4 linked regions of the Saccharomyces cerevisiae S288C genome follow. The gene in region 3 interacts genetically with the main gene of each other region. Each region holds a gene or a part of one and is shown on either strand. Other genes may lie near its edges. The genes, in order: HOS2, YTA7, GIM4 and MCM21.

Region 1 (3,826 bases), on a different chromosome or scaffold from region 3:
GTCTCAGAAATAACTTATAAGAGAGGTTTATTATTAGAACTATCAATAAAATTAGAGCAATAATTTTAAACGGTTTGATACAAGTTATCTCTTTATTAGACATAATTGTCCAGATGTATTACATGAACTGAGTGACTTGCTCTAATGTTGTAGACACTGATGTCCGGTTTAATTAAGAAAGATTTTGGAAGTTTCACGATATCGATAATGCTGCGGGAGAAGCTTTCAAATTATAAGAAAAGGCTTTTTTTTGTTGTTTTCAGAGTAGTTTGGTGACTTGTCCGTTTCAGAAGTGTCTCGAATACGGAGTGCACCTTCCAAAAATGTTTCTGACGGCATCGAAGAGCCGAACTCTTATACAATACATGTCATTTTTAACAATGATGCAAATAACTTTTAAGGCCTTAACACTCTACATAATATGCTAAAAACATTAAAAAAAAAAAAAGGAAAATAAAAAAAAAAAAAAAAAAAAAAACGGGAGATTAACCGAATAGCAAACTCTTAAACTATGAAAAGGCAATCAATCCACTGTTTTCTTTTTCCATTTCTTCTAGCCTATTTGAACTGTCTGCTTCTGTTTCTTCATTCATTTCTTGAATGATTTTATCCTCTTCTTCTGTCAGGGCACTTATATCTTGTGTCGGTATGCATTCAGCATCCATTCTGACACTTGGTGCTCCTTGCAAGTATCTGATATTTTCTAGACATCGTATTCTAATGTCTTCCAGTAGTTTTTTACTGTTTTTGTTTTCGTATAAGTCATCTAACATAGGATAAAGTGAATAATCCGGCCCGAATGAGTCCCGGAATGGGATATCTTCGGGGATGTCTTCTGGTAGCAAGACATCATTTAAAATTCCTGTCTCGTAGGTCCAAAGCCGTGATACATTTCTAGGTGTATAACCTCCACCGCCCACTACTAGCATTGGTAGACCAAATGATTTGACAAATTTTACGCATTCTCCATGTGCCTTTATATTTAAATTGAAGCATCCTAAGCGATCATGACCTAAGGAATCCGCACCGCATTGTTGGACAATAAGTGTTGGTTTGAAAGTCATTATTAGAGGATCTACAATTGACTTGAAAAGGTTTATATATGAGTCGTCATCTATGCCATCTTCTAGGGGTACATTTAATGCGAAATGTTTTCCTTTGTCGCAACCAATTTCTGTCAGATCACCAGTTCCTGGGAAAAATTCGCCATTATATTTATGAAAAGACAACGTGAAGACCCTATCTGTGGTGTAAAATGCCTCCTGGACACCATCGCCGTGATGTAAGTCGATATCGATATAAAGGATTCTTGGGTGATATCGTAATAAGTTCAAAATAGAAAGCACAATATCATTTACATAGCAAAACCCAGATGGACTATTCTTTTTTGCATGATGAAGACCACCAGACCAATTTATCGCTATGTCCGATTGATTGTTGATTAGTTTCCTGGTGGCGTCAAGGCTCGCACCAGTGTATAGTGTTGTATAATCATATAAATTTTGAAAAATAGGACAGTCGTCTCCAATGTTAAAATTTTCAAGTGTGCCTCTGGGCAGTTTGTTTGCATTTTCTGGTGAAACCTTCGAGAGAAAATTCACGTAGTCTTCCGAGTGAAATTGTAGTAATTCGTCTCTGGTAGCGCTTCTTGTTTCATAAAGGTCCATAATCTTGTGCAATCCATAAGAGGAAACTAGGTGATCCGTTAGCATTAACCGAAACGGCTTCATTGGATGCTTAACACCATAATGGTAATGTGAAACTTTGGAGTTAAAATGATACGATACCCTGGGAGAATAAGCAGAATTAAACTCAAATAATGGTTCGTTCTCCTTTGTTTTCACATCATAACTAAATGTTCCAGACATGTTGCGTGTTGTTATTCACTTGATACCTGATTTTAACGTACTTGAGTAATCTGGCGTCTTTTCTATAACTGTACATTGGCGACACACCTAAAACTGATTAGAATCGTTTCAAGATGCTTTCAGTTCAACATTTAGTAACATAGTAGGAATATCACGTTTAACGATGCCCCAAAGAACATCGAGAATCCTCTATATAGAGTATAAACAGGGCATTCTACATTGGTATAGAGGTGCCTTAGGTATATAGTGGTACCGGTCACATAAATTGACGGGAATATGCGTCTTTAGGCGGCTTTTGGCGTACAGTATTGTTCTTTCTTTCGTGCTTGTGAAACTTGTTATAAACAAAGAAAGAGAAAGATCTCCCCGGCATTCTGGAAGATCGGTAACCGCTGGAGCTATAGGAAAGGGAGATGGATAACAGTAAAGAAAACGGACCATATAAGTTAGCATTGGGGGTTTTCGAAAAAAATAAGAATTGGCATTCAGACTTGAATTCATAAAAGTTGTAAGCAGGCTATGATTAACGATAAACTAGTACATTTTCTGATCCAGAATTATGATGACATCCTAAGAGCACCGCTTTCTGGACAGCTCAAAGATGTGTATTCACTGTACATCAGTGGCGGATACGATGATGAGATGCAGAAGTTGAGAAACGATAAAGACGAGGTCTTACAGTTTGAACAGTTTTGGAATGATCTTCAGGATATTATATTTGCAACGCCGCAGTCCATTCAATTTGACCAGAATCTATTAGTGGCAGATAGGCCAGAAAAAATTGTTTACCTGGACGTTTTTTCCTTGAAAATTCTCTATAACAAGTTCCATGCCTTCTACTATACATTAAAATCGTCCAGTTCTTCATGTGAAGAAAAAGTGTCGAGTTTAACAACAAAACCGGAAGCTGATTCGGAAAAAGACCAACTGCTGGGTAGACTGCTTGGAGTCCTGAACTGGGACGTTAACGTCAGCAACCAGGGGTTACCACGTGAACAACTGAGCAATCGCTTACAAAATTTATTGAGGGAAAAACCATCATCTTTTCAGCTTGCTAAAGAAAGAGCCAAATACACGACCGAGGTCATTGAATACATCCCGATATGTAGTGACTATTCGCATGCATCTCTATTGTCCACCTCGGTGTACATTGTCAATAACAAAATCGTTTCTTTACAATGGTCCAAAATATCCGCATGTCAGGAAAATCACCCAGGATTAATTGAGTGCATTCAATCAAAAATTCACTTTATCCCTAATATCAAACCACAAACTGATATTTCGTTAGGAGATTGTTCCTATTTGGATACCTGTCATAAATTAAATACGTGTCGATACATTCATTACCTGCAATATATTCCGTCATGCTTGCAAGAGCGAGCTGATCGTGAAACTGCGAGTGAAAATAAAAGAATACGGTCAAACGTTTCCATTCCATTTTATACTCTGGGCAATTGCTCCGCACATTGTATCAAAAAGGCTTTACCTGCACAGTGGATCCGTTGCGATGTGCGGAAATTTGATTTTAGGGTTCTTGGAAAGTTTTCGGTAGTTATTGCAGATCCTGCATGGAATATCCATATGAACCTACCATACGGTACTTGCAACGATATTGAACTATTAGGTTTGCCTTTGCACGAACTACAAGATGAAGGTATTATTTTTCTTTGGGTGACGGGTAGAGCTATAGAATTGGGTAAAGAGTCTTTGAATAACTGGGGTTACAACGTGATAAATGAAGTTTCATGGATAAAGACAAACCAACTGGGTAGAACAATTGTTACAGGTCGTACGGGTCATTGGTTAAATCATTCTAAGGAGCATTTATTGGTGGGCTTAAAGGGTAATCCAAAGTGGATCAACAAACATATTGACGTCGATTTGATCGTATCAATGACCAGAGAGACTAGTAGAAAGCCTGATGAACTGTATGGTATAGCAGAACGGTTGGCAGGCAC
Region 2 (6,645 bases), on a different chromosome or scaffold from region 3:
ATAATGTTCGTTTGGTAACCTTTAGTGAAATAAAGCATGGCTTTAGCGTATCTTTGTGGAGTATCTAGTAGACCTTCTCTGTTGACATCTTCACCCAGTTCGGTCAAAATTGTCTTGATAGCGCCTGAAATGCGTTGAATTCGTTCCTTTTCCTCCTCTTCAGTTTCCTCTGCACGTTGTCTTGTACCCACACTTGGCCAAGAAAACCCATCTCTCTCGACAGGAGGGTTTAAAGTGTATGGAGAGGTAGGTCTAATGTTTAACGGGGTTTCATGTCTTTCTATCTCTTGCACTAATTGGATGTTATGCATTTTGGGATGATTGAAAGTATTGGTTCTAACAAAAAATGAGTCACGCACGCACAATCACGATTGAGGATGGAGTCGTATAATATTTTATGAACGGATGCTATATCGATCAGACGGTTGGCACCGTAAAAATAAATGAAAGAAGTTAAAGAAGGGCAAATCAGTCGGATTATGTGATAAGTATGTAATAGACATGTTTGAAAATTAGGAGCATTAAAATATGCTTTTCATCCTACAGTTGTTCGGTCTTTTTTCTTTTCGGTGAGCGACACAGCTTTTCTACTAAGGCCGTACCGGGTCATCCAAATCCTAAATTTTCATGCGCTAATAGCGTTGAGGCTGGGTGATAATTCTGCCTACACCATGACAAAGAGGACATATATCTTCGTCCAACAGGAATCTGGTGCGTCCGGACCCTCTGCATTCACCACATAGCACGCCACCCAGGCGAGGATCCCCTGGTTGAACGTACAAGGGCCTATTACCCTGCCATGCGTTGGTGTACACGGGCATTGTATAGTTTGTGTAATATGTCGGTGCAGAAACAACGTTATTTTGAGGTGCAAACCTCCTCCAACACGACTTGCAAGATCGTCCATTCTTCAACTTGTAACCCGTATTTCCACACTTGGAACAGTAAAACCTGGGAGGGTATGTCCAGGGCAAGCTAGGATTCTGTTGTGGCCTCGGTGGAGGCCGTGGTTGGGAACTTGTAGGCGTATAAGAGTGTGAGTGAGCATATGTTTGGGATGAGGACGTTGCTGGCATTGTCGAGGGCCTTTGGTGGGGTCTTGATTGGTGCCCTTGCGCCAAGTTAGCTGCTGGTCTTGGTGGTCGTGGCGGTTGAGATTGCAATCTCTCCTCTTCCTTGATTACGTCCTCGTAGCTCGGCAGTTCATCATCATGCGTGTCTTTAGACATAACAGTATGGTTTATACTCGTTTTATGGGTATTTTTTGGGACTGCTTAGTTCTTGACTTGAAGCCTCTTTATTCCCTTGATGGAAGTGTCACTATTAAAGATGGAGGCGGAGGCTATACCGTAGAAAATGATATGTTTGTATGTTCTGCTCTCTTCCCTCTATTAAAAGGGGGAAAGAGAAAAATAAATGGAAAAAAGCGATTAAGCCATAGGGAAAACACTCTTGTGGTGGCAAAGCATCAGATAGGCAGGCAGGAGGAAATGGCAGTGAAGTGTCAAACCAAGCATACTTTCACTGGATTGATTTGAAAGTTAATGCTGAGTTTGAGATGTTTTAAAGAGGAACTGTGGTGATCGGTTATTTCTATTCGCTTTTGTGTGCGTCTTTTCATCGTTTGCAGCTGAACTTGTTGAGGCATTAGCCGCTGAGGAATTTTTTTCTGCCTCTATAAACTTGTTTATTATCACTAAAAACGTACCGTCTGTTATTTTGTACGGCCATGTGTGCGAAAAAGGACAAAGTGGTAGCGAAAGAGCAATATTGGGACGAAAAGGAGCAGAAAAGGAACTGCGTAGGGTCTTAAATAAAGCAAAACGTCTGAAGGATCTTGCGTACTCCTTACTAACCCATTGTTGTTTTCGACAGTCATAAAAAGAAGTTACCACGGTCTATTTCTCTCTTCTCGCTATTTATTCACAATTGGTGCAGAAAGAACATGGCACGAAATTTAAGGAATAGACGCGGTAGCGACGTTGAAGATGCAAGCAACGCAAAGGTTGGGTATGAAACACAGATTAAAGACGAAAATGGCATAATCCATACAACAACTCGCTCTTTGAGAAAAATAAACTACGCAGAAATTGAGAAAGTGTTTGATTTTTTGGAAGATGACCAGGTCATGGACAAAGATGAGACGCCCGTTGATGTTACTAGTGATGAACATCATAACAACAACCAGAAAGGCGATGATGAAGACGATGATGTTGATCTTGTATCACCGCACGAAAACGCCAGAACGAACGAAGAGCTTACTAATGAAAGGAACTTGAGAAAAAGAAAAGCGCATGATCCAGAAGAAGATGACGAAAGTTTTCATGAGGAAGATGTCGACGATGATGAAGAGGAGGAAGAAGCAGACGAATTTGAAGATGAGTATTTGGATGAAGACTCGAAGGATAACAACCGTCGGCGCAGAGCGGCCGATAGGAAATTTGTAGTACCAGACCCTGATGACGATGAAGAATACGATGAGGATGACGAAGAAGGAGACAGAATAAGCCATTCGGCTTCTTCTAAACGTTTGAAAAGGGCAAATTCTCGAAGAACAAGATCGTCACGTCACCCAGAAACTCCACCACCGGTAAGAAGAGCTTTAAGAAGTAGGACAAGACATTCGCGTACTTCAAATGAAGAAAATGACGATGAGAATGATAATAGCAGGAATGAAGCGTTAACTTTAGCTGATGAAATTAGAGAGTTACAGGAAGATAGTCCTATCAGGGAAAAAAGATTTCTTCGCGAAAGAACTAAGCCGGTAAATTACAAATTACCACCACCACTAACTGCTAGCAACGCAGAAGAATTTATAGATAAGAATAACAATGCACTTTCTTTTCATAACCCATCACCTGCACGGCGTGGTCGCGGTGGTTGGAATGCTAGTCAAAATTCTGGTCCCACAAGAAGGCTTTTTCCCACTGGTGGACCTTTTGGTGGCAATGACGTAACTACAATATTTGGTAAGAATACTAATTTTTACAACCAAGTCCCATCTGCATTCAGTGATAATAACAACAATAAATTAATACTGGATTCAGACTCTTCCGATGATGAGATATTACCTCTTGGCGTGACACCGAAAACAAAGAAAGAGAACACGCAAAAAAAGAAGAAGAAAAAACCAGAAATTGCAGACCTCGATCCATTAGGCGTAGACATGAATGTAAATTTTGACGATATAGGTGGTTTAGACAACTACATTGACCAATTAAAGGAAATGGTGGCCTTACCACTATTATACCCAGAATTGTATCAAAATTTTAATATCACGCCCCCAAGGGGTGTTCTTTTCCATGGTCCTCCTGGTACGGGTAAAACACTTATGGCAAGAGCGTTAGCAGCAAGTTGTTCTTCTGATGAAAGGAAGATCACATTTTTTATGCGTAAAGGTGCAGATATTTTATCCAAGTGGGTTGGTGAAGCTGAAAGACAACTCCGTTTGTTATTCGAAGAAGCTAAAAAACATCAACCTTCCATCATTTTTTTTGATGAAATCGACGGATTAGCGCCTGTGAGAAGTTCCAAACAAGAACAGATCCATGCTAGTATTGTTTCCACATTATTAGCGCTGATGGATGGTATGGACAATAGAGGCCAAGTCATTGTCATCGGAGCCACAAATCGACCCGATGCAGTGGATCCCGCATTAAGAAGGCCGGGAAGATTTGATAGAGAATTTTATTTTCCATTACCTGATGTTAAAGCACGTTTTAAAATTTTGCAAATTCAGACCAGGAAATGGAGTTCACCGTTGTCAACCAACTTCATTGATAAATTGGCTTTTTTGACCAAAGGATATGGTGGTGCTGATCTGAGGTCCCTATGCACTGAGGCTGCACTAATAAGTATACAAAGAAGCTTTCCTCAAATTTATAGGTCAAATGATAAACTCTTGGTGGACCCTTCTAAGATTAAAGTCAAAGTTAGCGATTTCATGTTAGCTTTGAAAAAAATTGTTCCGTCATCTGCGAGATCTACTGGTAGTTCTCCTCAGCCACTACCTGAATTAATCAAACCATTACTGGCAGATCAACTTAATAATTTAAAGAACAAGCTGGATTATATGCTGAACATTAAAGACACAACTTTTCAGAGAAACACATCATTGCTACAAAATTTCATCGATTATGAAGAATACAGTGGAGAGGAAGAAGAGCATGACAAATATGGAGGAAATGAAGATACATCCAGTTTTAGATCATATGAGTTTTTCGAATCGATGGCGGAATCACAAATTTGTAAACCTCGGTTATTAATAAATGGGCCCAAGGGAAATGGTCAACAATATGTCGGAGCCGCAATTTTAAATTATTTAGAAGAATTCAACGTCCAAAACCTGGACCTTGCCTCTTTGGTTTCGGAAAGTTCTAGGACTATTGAAGCTGCTGTAGTGCAAAGTTTTATGGAAGCAAAGAAAAGACAGCCCTCAGTTGTATTTATTCCTAATTTAGACATTTGGATCAACACTATTCCAGAAAACGTTATTTTAGTCTTATCAGGTTTGTTCAGATCTTTACAAAGCAATGAAAAAATTCTTCTATTATGCTTAGCTGAAAATCTTGATATATCTGAAGTTAAAAATGGTATTTTATCTGATTTTGCTTTTGATAAAAATATCTTTCAACTGCATAAACCATCCAAAGAGAATATAACGAGGTATTTTTCTAATTTAATTGAACTACTGAAAACAAAGCCAAGTGATATTCCCATGAAAAAGAGAAGAGTCAAACCGTTACCTGAATTACAAAAAGTAACTTCAAACGCAGCTCCAACAAATTTTGATGAAAATGGTGAGCCACTGTCTGAAAAAGTGGTATTAAGAAGGAAGTTGAAATCTTTTCAACACCAAGATATGAGATTGAAAAATGTGTTAAAAATCAAACTCTCAGGCTTGATGGATCTTTTTAAAAACAGATATAAAAGGTTTAGAAAACCACCTATTGATGATGCCTTCTTGGTTCATCTTTTCGAACCAGAGACAAGCAATGATCCCAATTGGCAACCTGCATATATAAAAGATGAGAACATGATTCTGGAGGTTTCAACAGGGCGAAAGTTTTTTAACATGGATTTGGATATTGTCGAAGAGAGACTTTGGAATGGCTATTACTCAGAACCAAAACAGTTTTTAAAAGACATTGAACTGATATACAGGGATGCAAATACCATTGGGGACAGAGAACGTGTCATTAAGGCCTCTGAGATGTTTGCCAACGCGCAAATGGGTATCGAAGAAATTTCAACCCCGGATTTTATTCAAGAGTGTAAAGCTACTCGCCAAAGGGATTTGGAAAGGCAGGAACTTTTCTTAGAAGATGAAGAGAAAAGAGCTGCAATGGAATTAGAAGCCAAAGAACAGAGTCAAGAAAATATACTGCAAGAACCTGATTTAAAGGATAACAAGGCTAATGAGTTTGGTGTAGCTGCTGGTAATCAATTGCAAGCTCAGCTGCAAACAACTATCAATACAGCCTCTATCGTTAATAACAGCGAGGTCCCTCAACCAATTGATACCAACCTGTATAAAAAGGAGATTCCTGCGGCAATTCCCTCTGCAGTAGATAAAGAAAAAGCGGTCATCCCTGAGGATAGCGGTGCAAATGAAGAATACACAACGGAACTGATACAGGCCACTTGCACGTCAGAGATAACCACCGATGATGATGAAAGGGCCAGAAAAGAACCAAAAGAGAATGAAGACTCTTTGCAAACGCAGGTTACGGAAGAAAACTTCAGCAAAATAGACGCTAATACTAATAATATAAATCACGTAAAGGAAATTCAATCGGTTAACAAACCAAATTCCCTCCACGAAACGGTAGAAAAAAGGGAACGAAGTCCGATACCAAAAGAGGTTGTGGAACCGGAGCAAGGGAAGAAGAGCGACAAGGAGCTTATTTTGACGCCCGAACAAATAAAAAAAGTATCTGCATGCTTAATCGAACACTGTCAGAATTTTACGGTTTCTCAATTAGAAGATGTTCATTCGTCCGTTGCAAAAATAATATGGAAAAGTAAATCAGCATGGGATAAAACAGGAACTGTCGATGAAATAATAAAATTTTTATCTGAATAAGCAGGAGTCCATAATGTTTATATAATTCTTAAATGTAGTTAGTTCATATACATGAATGTGCACTTTTCTTGAAAAGAAATAGATTTAAAACCACACCTTGTATATATATTATGCTTTTTTCCACTACTTTATTTTAACAGTCACTGTTCTGGCATACGTTTCGGGTAATGACCGAGAATGGAATATGTATTGAACATATTGAAATTAAACATGTTCATAATATCTTCTAACACCATTGGAATTGTGAGAAGTAGATCCGTACCATCAATAGCCGGCTCAAGATGTCAACTGAATACTCTGCTGATTCATCTAAATCATTTATGATTGCAATGCAATCTATGATTGATACTTCACAAACCTTTAATCTAGATAGATCGAAAATCTCTTTACCAGATTTTGATGACGAGCTAAAAAAAGTCCAAAAGGATGAACAAAATCAAAGAACTGAACTAACTGTTCTCTCACAAGATAGAAATGATTGGGATGATATATTTGAGGAGTTTAAAGACATTTCATTTGCTCAACTGCAATCTATAATTGATTCATACAAAACAAAGAAT
Region 3 (2,741 bases):
CGAGTTCTTCATTTAACGAGCCAATTTTTTTTTCCGCATTGGCCAATAGACGATCATTTCCATTGATACAATTAGTAGAAGCCCTTTGCTTTAAGACGTTTTTGTAACTATGTTCTACCTTTTTTAACGACTTTTTAAGTTGAAGTTCAATTTGCTGCATCTGATTGCGTTCCTCGTCAATGTCCCTACTTACAACTTCATAGATGGACAGAATGTCTTTTTTTACTTGTAATAACTCATACTTCGTGCTATTGAAGATAGCAGCCTGTGTTAATTTTTTATGGGATGCAAGGGGAGGTAAGCCCTTTAACTCTTCGTAATAGGAACTGCTTCCAACGGCATCAAATTCTATTCTTGATTTCCATTTCAGTATACCTTTAGTTAAGTCTGCTACCATGCTAGGCACTCTCTGCCTTTCTTATGGTTTGGTTACGCATACTCTTCCTTTATATATTCATTGTCATATTTTAAGGAAGCAATCGCTCCCGACGCAAAGTAAAAATATTCAGTGCTTTGCACTCCAGTTAGAAAAAATGAAGAGAATTCAATTGAGAATAAGCAGGGAAGTAATTGGATTGGGAGAATCTAAAAAATGTGGAACTCACTAAAAGCATTCGCTCTAGTGTTCGGAGGTTGTTGCTCCAATGTTATTACATTTGAAACCTTAATGAGCAACGAAACAGGCAGCATTAATAATCTCATTACTTTTTGTCAATTTTTATTTGTTACATGTCAGGGACTCCCCGAATTTCTGGATGTTCATCAACCTTTCCCTTACTTCAAGCCTCTGAAAACTCCACTTCACGTTTATGTCATTACTGTCGTTTTATTTTATATTTCATCTACGACGAATAATAACGTATTTAAATACAACATATCCATTCCGATTCATATCGTTTTCAGATGCTTCGGAACCGTAATAACCATGTTTACATGCTGGTTATTAAATGGTAGGAAATATACAAAGATTCAGATTTTATCAACACTATTTTTAACCATTGGAGCTATAATTGCCTCATTATTCAAAGATGCTGATTTTCGGTACCAAGATTTGAAACTGCAAGCGTGGAAAATTGGAAGTGACCAATCTGTAGATCTCACTTTTATTTTTGGCATTTGTATACTAGTACTTTCATCATTCACATCATCTTTACTTTCAGCATACAATGAACGTACGTATCAAAAATATGGAAAGCATTGGAAGGAGAATATCTTTTACAGTCATTTTTTATCATTACCTCTCTTTCTATTTAGTCGAAAGCAGTTAATTCACGAATATCGAGTGATGAGAAAGTCTGAAAGAATATTGTGTTCAAATTTTGGAGGGAAGATTCTAGTCCCGCGAGAAGAAACTCTCCTTCTTTTCAATGTGTTAACACAATATTTTTGCGTCAAGGGTGTTAATATCCTCGCCAGTAAAACAAACGCTCTGACACTTTCCATAACATTACTTGTAAGAAAATTTATAAGTCTTTTACTGAGCGTCCGACTTTTCGATAATAACTTGTCATATACTGGCTACATCGGGGTCTACCTAGTCTTTTTTGGTGCCTTTATATACTCGCTGGGATCAATTCACCCCAGGCAAAATGACAAGGGGGCGATAAAGAAAAGTAAATGAACACACATTATAAACTAACCTTAAATCCTACTTGTATGTTCCTTAACTCTATATTAGTGGTGTTGACGTAAGTTTAGATAAAATCGCGAACGCTGCCGCCTGGAAGTAAATGAAAAAAAAAAAAAAAAGAATTCATCACCTAAACTCACTAATCTTTAAAACTCATTCATGAGAAGTGGAGAACTATATTACAGCTATGGAACAAAGGAACAACGGTATGCAAAATTTCGATCTCTGGGTTTTAATAAATGCATGTAGCCAATTTTATCTTACTAACAATCTTTGTGTTTTCTCTGTGTATAGTCTTTCAAGCAAAATATAATGAATACAAACAAATTTTGGAAGAATTGCAAACAAAAATCATAGAATTAGGTCATGACAAAGATGAACACACTATAGTCATAAAAACACTGAAAGACGCTGAGCCGACGAGAAAATGTTACAGGATGATAGGTGGCGCACTTGTTGAAAGTGATGTTCAAACGAGTTTGCCTATTCTTGAAACTAAGAAGGAAAACATAGAAGGTACAATAAGTAAAATGAAAGAAACCTTAATACAAACTGCAAAAGAGTTTGAAAAATGGAAAAAAGACAATAAGATTCAAGTCGTTAAAAACTAAACCATATATAAAATCTATTGCAGTACTTAGTTTGGCAAAAAATATAAATAAACACAATCAGGTACTCTTATGTATTTATGTGAGCCATTTATAAAGAATTATAAAGGATATGAAAACATATATTAGTTTGTTTTTTTGAATGTTTCAAGTTTCTTGCCAACAGAGGAAGTCGTAACGAAAGAAACAACAAAAAATATCCACGCAACAATGACGCCACAAATGGCGCTAATATAAACCCAAGAATTGCTGATTTCCCAACTTCTTGGGTATTCATCATTAGCAAGGTGACGGATAGCTTTAACGTCTTTGTCAGTAGTGAACGACAGGCCAATCTTACGATAGTCAGTGAGGAATGTAAACACTCCATGGCGGTCTGGAAGGATGAATTCACCGGTGGTGTAATACTGAGTTTCAGAATCGTTTCCGCTTGGCGACAATGTTAGACGGTAGTACGGATCCACTTGTCTTAGTTCAAATTGGATATCATCAGCGATATGTGG
Region 4 (3,288 bases), on a different chromosome or scaffold from region 3:
TGCTCAAAAATAGAATAATCAGTATTATGATCACTCAATATGCTTGCAAGTTCGTTCTAAAATATCTATTATTGTTTTTGAATTTCCAATTTATCGATCATGTTTTCATTTGGACAGGGGGAGAATGCAGTTCTGGTAGTAAAACGACATCAGCTGAAAAGTGCCGTCTAGAAAATGGGAAATGGGATGGTGGGTTTGACATTAGTGGACACTTCTGCTTTCTTGTGAGTATAAGCATGATTCTTTGGATGGAACTTCACTTATTCAGTAGATTTGTTCAAGCTGAAGATATGTTTTGGGTTGTGAATAAGTGGGTACGAGCTTGCCTTGCCATTGTTTGCGCTGTCCTAGTAATTTGGATATGTATTCTCTGGGTTACCGCTATTTATTATCATACTATCTTGGAAAAAGTGTTAGGTTGCCTTATGGGTTTCATATGCCCTGTTTTCATATACCACATTCTACCCAAAATTGGGATACTACACAATTACTTATATCTATGATAAACAGAGAAAATTAGCTCTATCCTCTTTCTATAAAGTATATTTTTGTTAACATTCACTTGAATATTGTCGCGAAAGAATGGTTTAATTTTAATTCCAAATCATCCAAAGAACCGAGCAATGCAATTTCCCATTTACTTTTATTATTTTGACTAAAATCATGAATATCGTCCAATATTGAACATGAAACTATTTCATTTTGTTTTACAAACAACTCGACTTTAATATCCTTCACAAAAAACGAAACCATTGAAGATTCTAAATCTAAATCTAAGTCGTGGATTATCTTCTTAGCTTCTAAGTCCTTAAAAATCTGTCGTCTTTTCTGTACTTCCACAAGTTGCAGGAAGACTCTTTTAGCAAATAAATAGGCGTCATCATGAGATATCACTAGTCCCCCATTGGTGTCATCAAATATACCTTGGACATCAATGAAACTCGGGATTGTATGCTTGAACAGGAACCAACTATTCGATTTGATCCTCTTTTTCAACAATACATAGTGAGGTTTTTCAAATTGGGATGTCCGTTCGCTGAAGACTTCCAGTCGTATTCCCAGCATTTCTCTATCAACAAATATTTCACCGCTAGCATCTTTTATCTTAAGGTCAATAGGGTCCACAAGAGGGAAAAATGTTATACCAAACATTCTATAAACATTTTCCAGGACAATATAATCTTCCAACTCACTTCTATCACTTGTACTAATATCGTCTATTTTTAGTTTTCGCTTTCTTTTTGAAGGTGACGTTAGAATGTCTGTATCCAATAAATCTGCCACCCCAGGATCAAACATTTGATGCTGAACCATTGGCTGGGTCTTTAAAACCCATTCTTGTTCTGGTAAAATTTCCTCATTCTCCAGCTTAGCTCTTTTCTTTGGTTCATACGGTATTGGCGTTGCTGGTATATCCGCTTGCGCCCTTGATATGTCCTTGTCATCTGTCTCTTCCAATTCTGGATGCTCATTAAATAAAAAATTATTCAACTGTGGGAATTGATCGAATAGATCTTCAAATTCTTGTACTATAGGATTAGCGCTCTCCTCATTTTTTCTTTTATCTTTTATCTTCGCTTTGAGCTTCTCACGACTTTCTTCTAATGAATTGACTGTGAAGATTCTACTATGTTAGTGTTCAACTTAATCATTTTTTTAAAAGAAAGAAAATTGTTACAGCCTCAAAATCACATACTTTCACTGAGTAAAGATTCAATGTCCTGCTGTAAATCATCGATTCTACTCATTGCCAGGAGCGTTACTGATAGTTTGAAAGAATTGCTCAAGTAAAGAAATCACATTTTCCCCTCATTATCCATATGGCTTTTGTTTGTTTTTTCTTCAGTTTTGAAATATGCGCGTTTTCTTACCATCATTATAAACTTAGGGAAGATCTATCATAGAATTGGTCGGCCATTACTGGCGATTAGTAAAACAATACATAAAGTTTGCATATTCAATGCGATAAAAATTTAAGACGGCCCAGGTATCGAATCCATGATATAGTGGTTCTTTTATGTATTAGGCTACTATTTATTTAATAACTTCGCATCTATCAAAAGAAAAGACTGACTGTTCACACAATCATATCAATTTGATAACTGCTAATTACTTCCAGCTTAGGTCCCGCCTCTTTACTTTTCCTTTCAATCGCCATCAAAGAGGCAACATAAGAAACCTTTGAAACTGGGACAGCGTATCCTAATAATGCAGATCCTGGCATCCTATATATACTGGAAGCAATTATTTCGCTTAACTTTGTTCTTAAGCCAATCCTTCTGGCCTCACTGATATATTTCTTTTTATAAACTAAAAGATAGTGAGGATAATAAAAAATTTTTTCCAAGAAAGTGGAGTTTTCTTTACCCAATTCAACGTTTATAGGATTTCCGTGCTGTCCACACATCGGACCTGGCCTCAAAATAACTAGCTCCTTTAGCTTATTTGGCAAAGCTTCATCCAAGTCATTTTCTAATTTAGCTTTTATTCTAAAATACTCGAAAGTTTTACTAAGAAAATCATTATTAAAGGCAGTTGTAACCACCAACCTTTTGTTAGTTGTATTCGTGAATTCTTGTGCTAAATTAAAAGGTAAGTAATAGTCAGCAAAGGAACTTGGTACCTGAGTTCTCCGCACTCTAGCTGAGGTGGAGCCCAAAGAGCACACCATAGTGCTAATATCACACAGACTAGGCAAACTTCTACCGGGAACGTAATTTTTGTTGTCAATGTCAAACTTTTCCAGCTTTTGTGTTCCTGAGAATATCCGTGGAAGCAATTTTGGCCAAGTTTCAGATCTGGGGATGATCAATTGCGTTACAGTAAAATTACAAATGATCTCAATACCTTTTTCCTTTCCGCATGCATAATGTAGTGTGTAACTGAACTGTTTCTGATTATAAACAAAAGAATAACCATCTTTTCCCCTCTCTTCAGGCGTATTTTTAATAAATCCTTCTTCAAAATTATCATAACAAAAAGTATTAGGACTAGACGGTACTTTTTCAGTGTCTTTTTCTTTCCTGCTTCTCAAGTAATATCTGCCACCTTGCCAAGTAACTGATCTCATATTTATATAATCAATGGTCTTCATAAATGATTTCTCCTCATTGATGCACCTTCTATTAACACAAAAGACATGTTTATTGAGAACGACATTTCCCTTTATTTCACTTAAGCTATCAAGCTTGCCTTGTAGGTCCGAAACATTTTTAATATATAAATTTATGTCCAACAGGTTCTCTAAAATACCTTTTCCTACTAAACTAGATGATCCAAACAATAAAA

The links.
Region 1: mutations in GIM4 (region 3) and HOS2 together harm fitness more than expected from each alone (negative genetic interaction), as found in Saccharomyces cerevisiae (6 studies listed by BioGRID, with this or other methods).
Region 2: mutations in GIM4 (region 3) and YTA7 together harm fitness more than expected from each alone (negative genetic interaction), as found in Saccharomyces cerevisiae (5 studies listed by BioGRID, with this or other methods).
Region 4: mutations in GIM4 (region 3) and MCM21 together harm fitness more than expected from each alone (negative genetic interaction), as found in Saccharomyces cerevisiae (5 studies listed by BioGRID, with this or other methods).

The regions. Positions count from the first base shown.
Region 1 is NC_001139.9:139,859-143,684, forward strand, and holds HOS2 (histone deacetylase HOS2), read right to left. Parts: upstream 1,869-3,826; coding exon 510-1,868; downstream 1-509. Other genes in the region: YGL194C-A (uncharacterized protein), read right to left, coding at 1-103; YGL193C (uncharacterized protein), read right to left, coding at 2,058-2,369; IME4 (mRNA (N6-adenosine)-methyltransferase), read left to right, coding at 2,388-3,826.
Region 2 is NC_001139.9:1,025,425-1,032,069, forward strand, and holds YTA7 (chromatin segregase YTA7), read left to right. Parts: upstream 1-1,945; coding exon 1,946-6,085; downstream 6,086-6,645. Other genes in the region: FOL2 (GTP cyclohydrolase I), read right to left, coding at 1-311; HUA1 (Hua1p), read right to left, coding at 633-1,229; SLH1 (RNA helicase), read left to right, coding at 6,367-6,645. UniProt on the Saccharomyces cerevisiae protein: Functions as an ATP-dependent nucleosome disassembly factor that helps evict canonical histone H3 from the 5'-end of genes upon their induction.
Region 3 is NC_001137.3:146,359-149,099, forward strand, and holds GIM4 (tubulin-binding prefolding complex subunit GIM4), read left to right. Parts: upstream 1-1,817; coding exon 1,818-1,836; intron 1,837-1,924; coding exon 1,925-2,241; downstream 2,242-2,741. Other genes in the region: VAB2 (Vab2p), read right to left, coding at 1-397; YEA4 (Yea4p), read left to right, coding at 593-1,621; WBP1 (dolichyl-diphosphooligosaccharide-protein glycotransferase), read right to left, coding at 2,364-2,741. UniProt on the Saccharomyces cerevisiae protein: Binds specifically to cytosolic chaperonin (c-CPN) and transfers target proteins to it. Binds to nascent polypeptide chain and promotes folding in an environment in which there are many competing pathways for nonnative proteins.
Region 4 is NC_001136.10:1,102,218-1,105,505, reverse strand, and holds MCM21 (Mcm21p), read right to left. Parts: upstream 1,749-3,288; coding exon 1,697-1,748; intron 1,614-1,696; coding exon 559-1,613; downstream 1-558. Other genes in the region: YFT2 (Yft2p), read left to right, coding at 1-503; HIM1 (Him1p), read right to left, coding at 2,078-3,288. UniProt on the Saccharomyces cerevisiae protein: Component of the kinetochore, a multiprotein complex that assembles on centromeric DNA and attaches chromosomes to spindle microtubules, mediating chromosome segregation and sister chromatid segregation during meiosis and mitosis.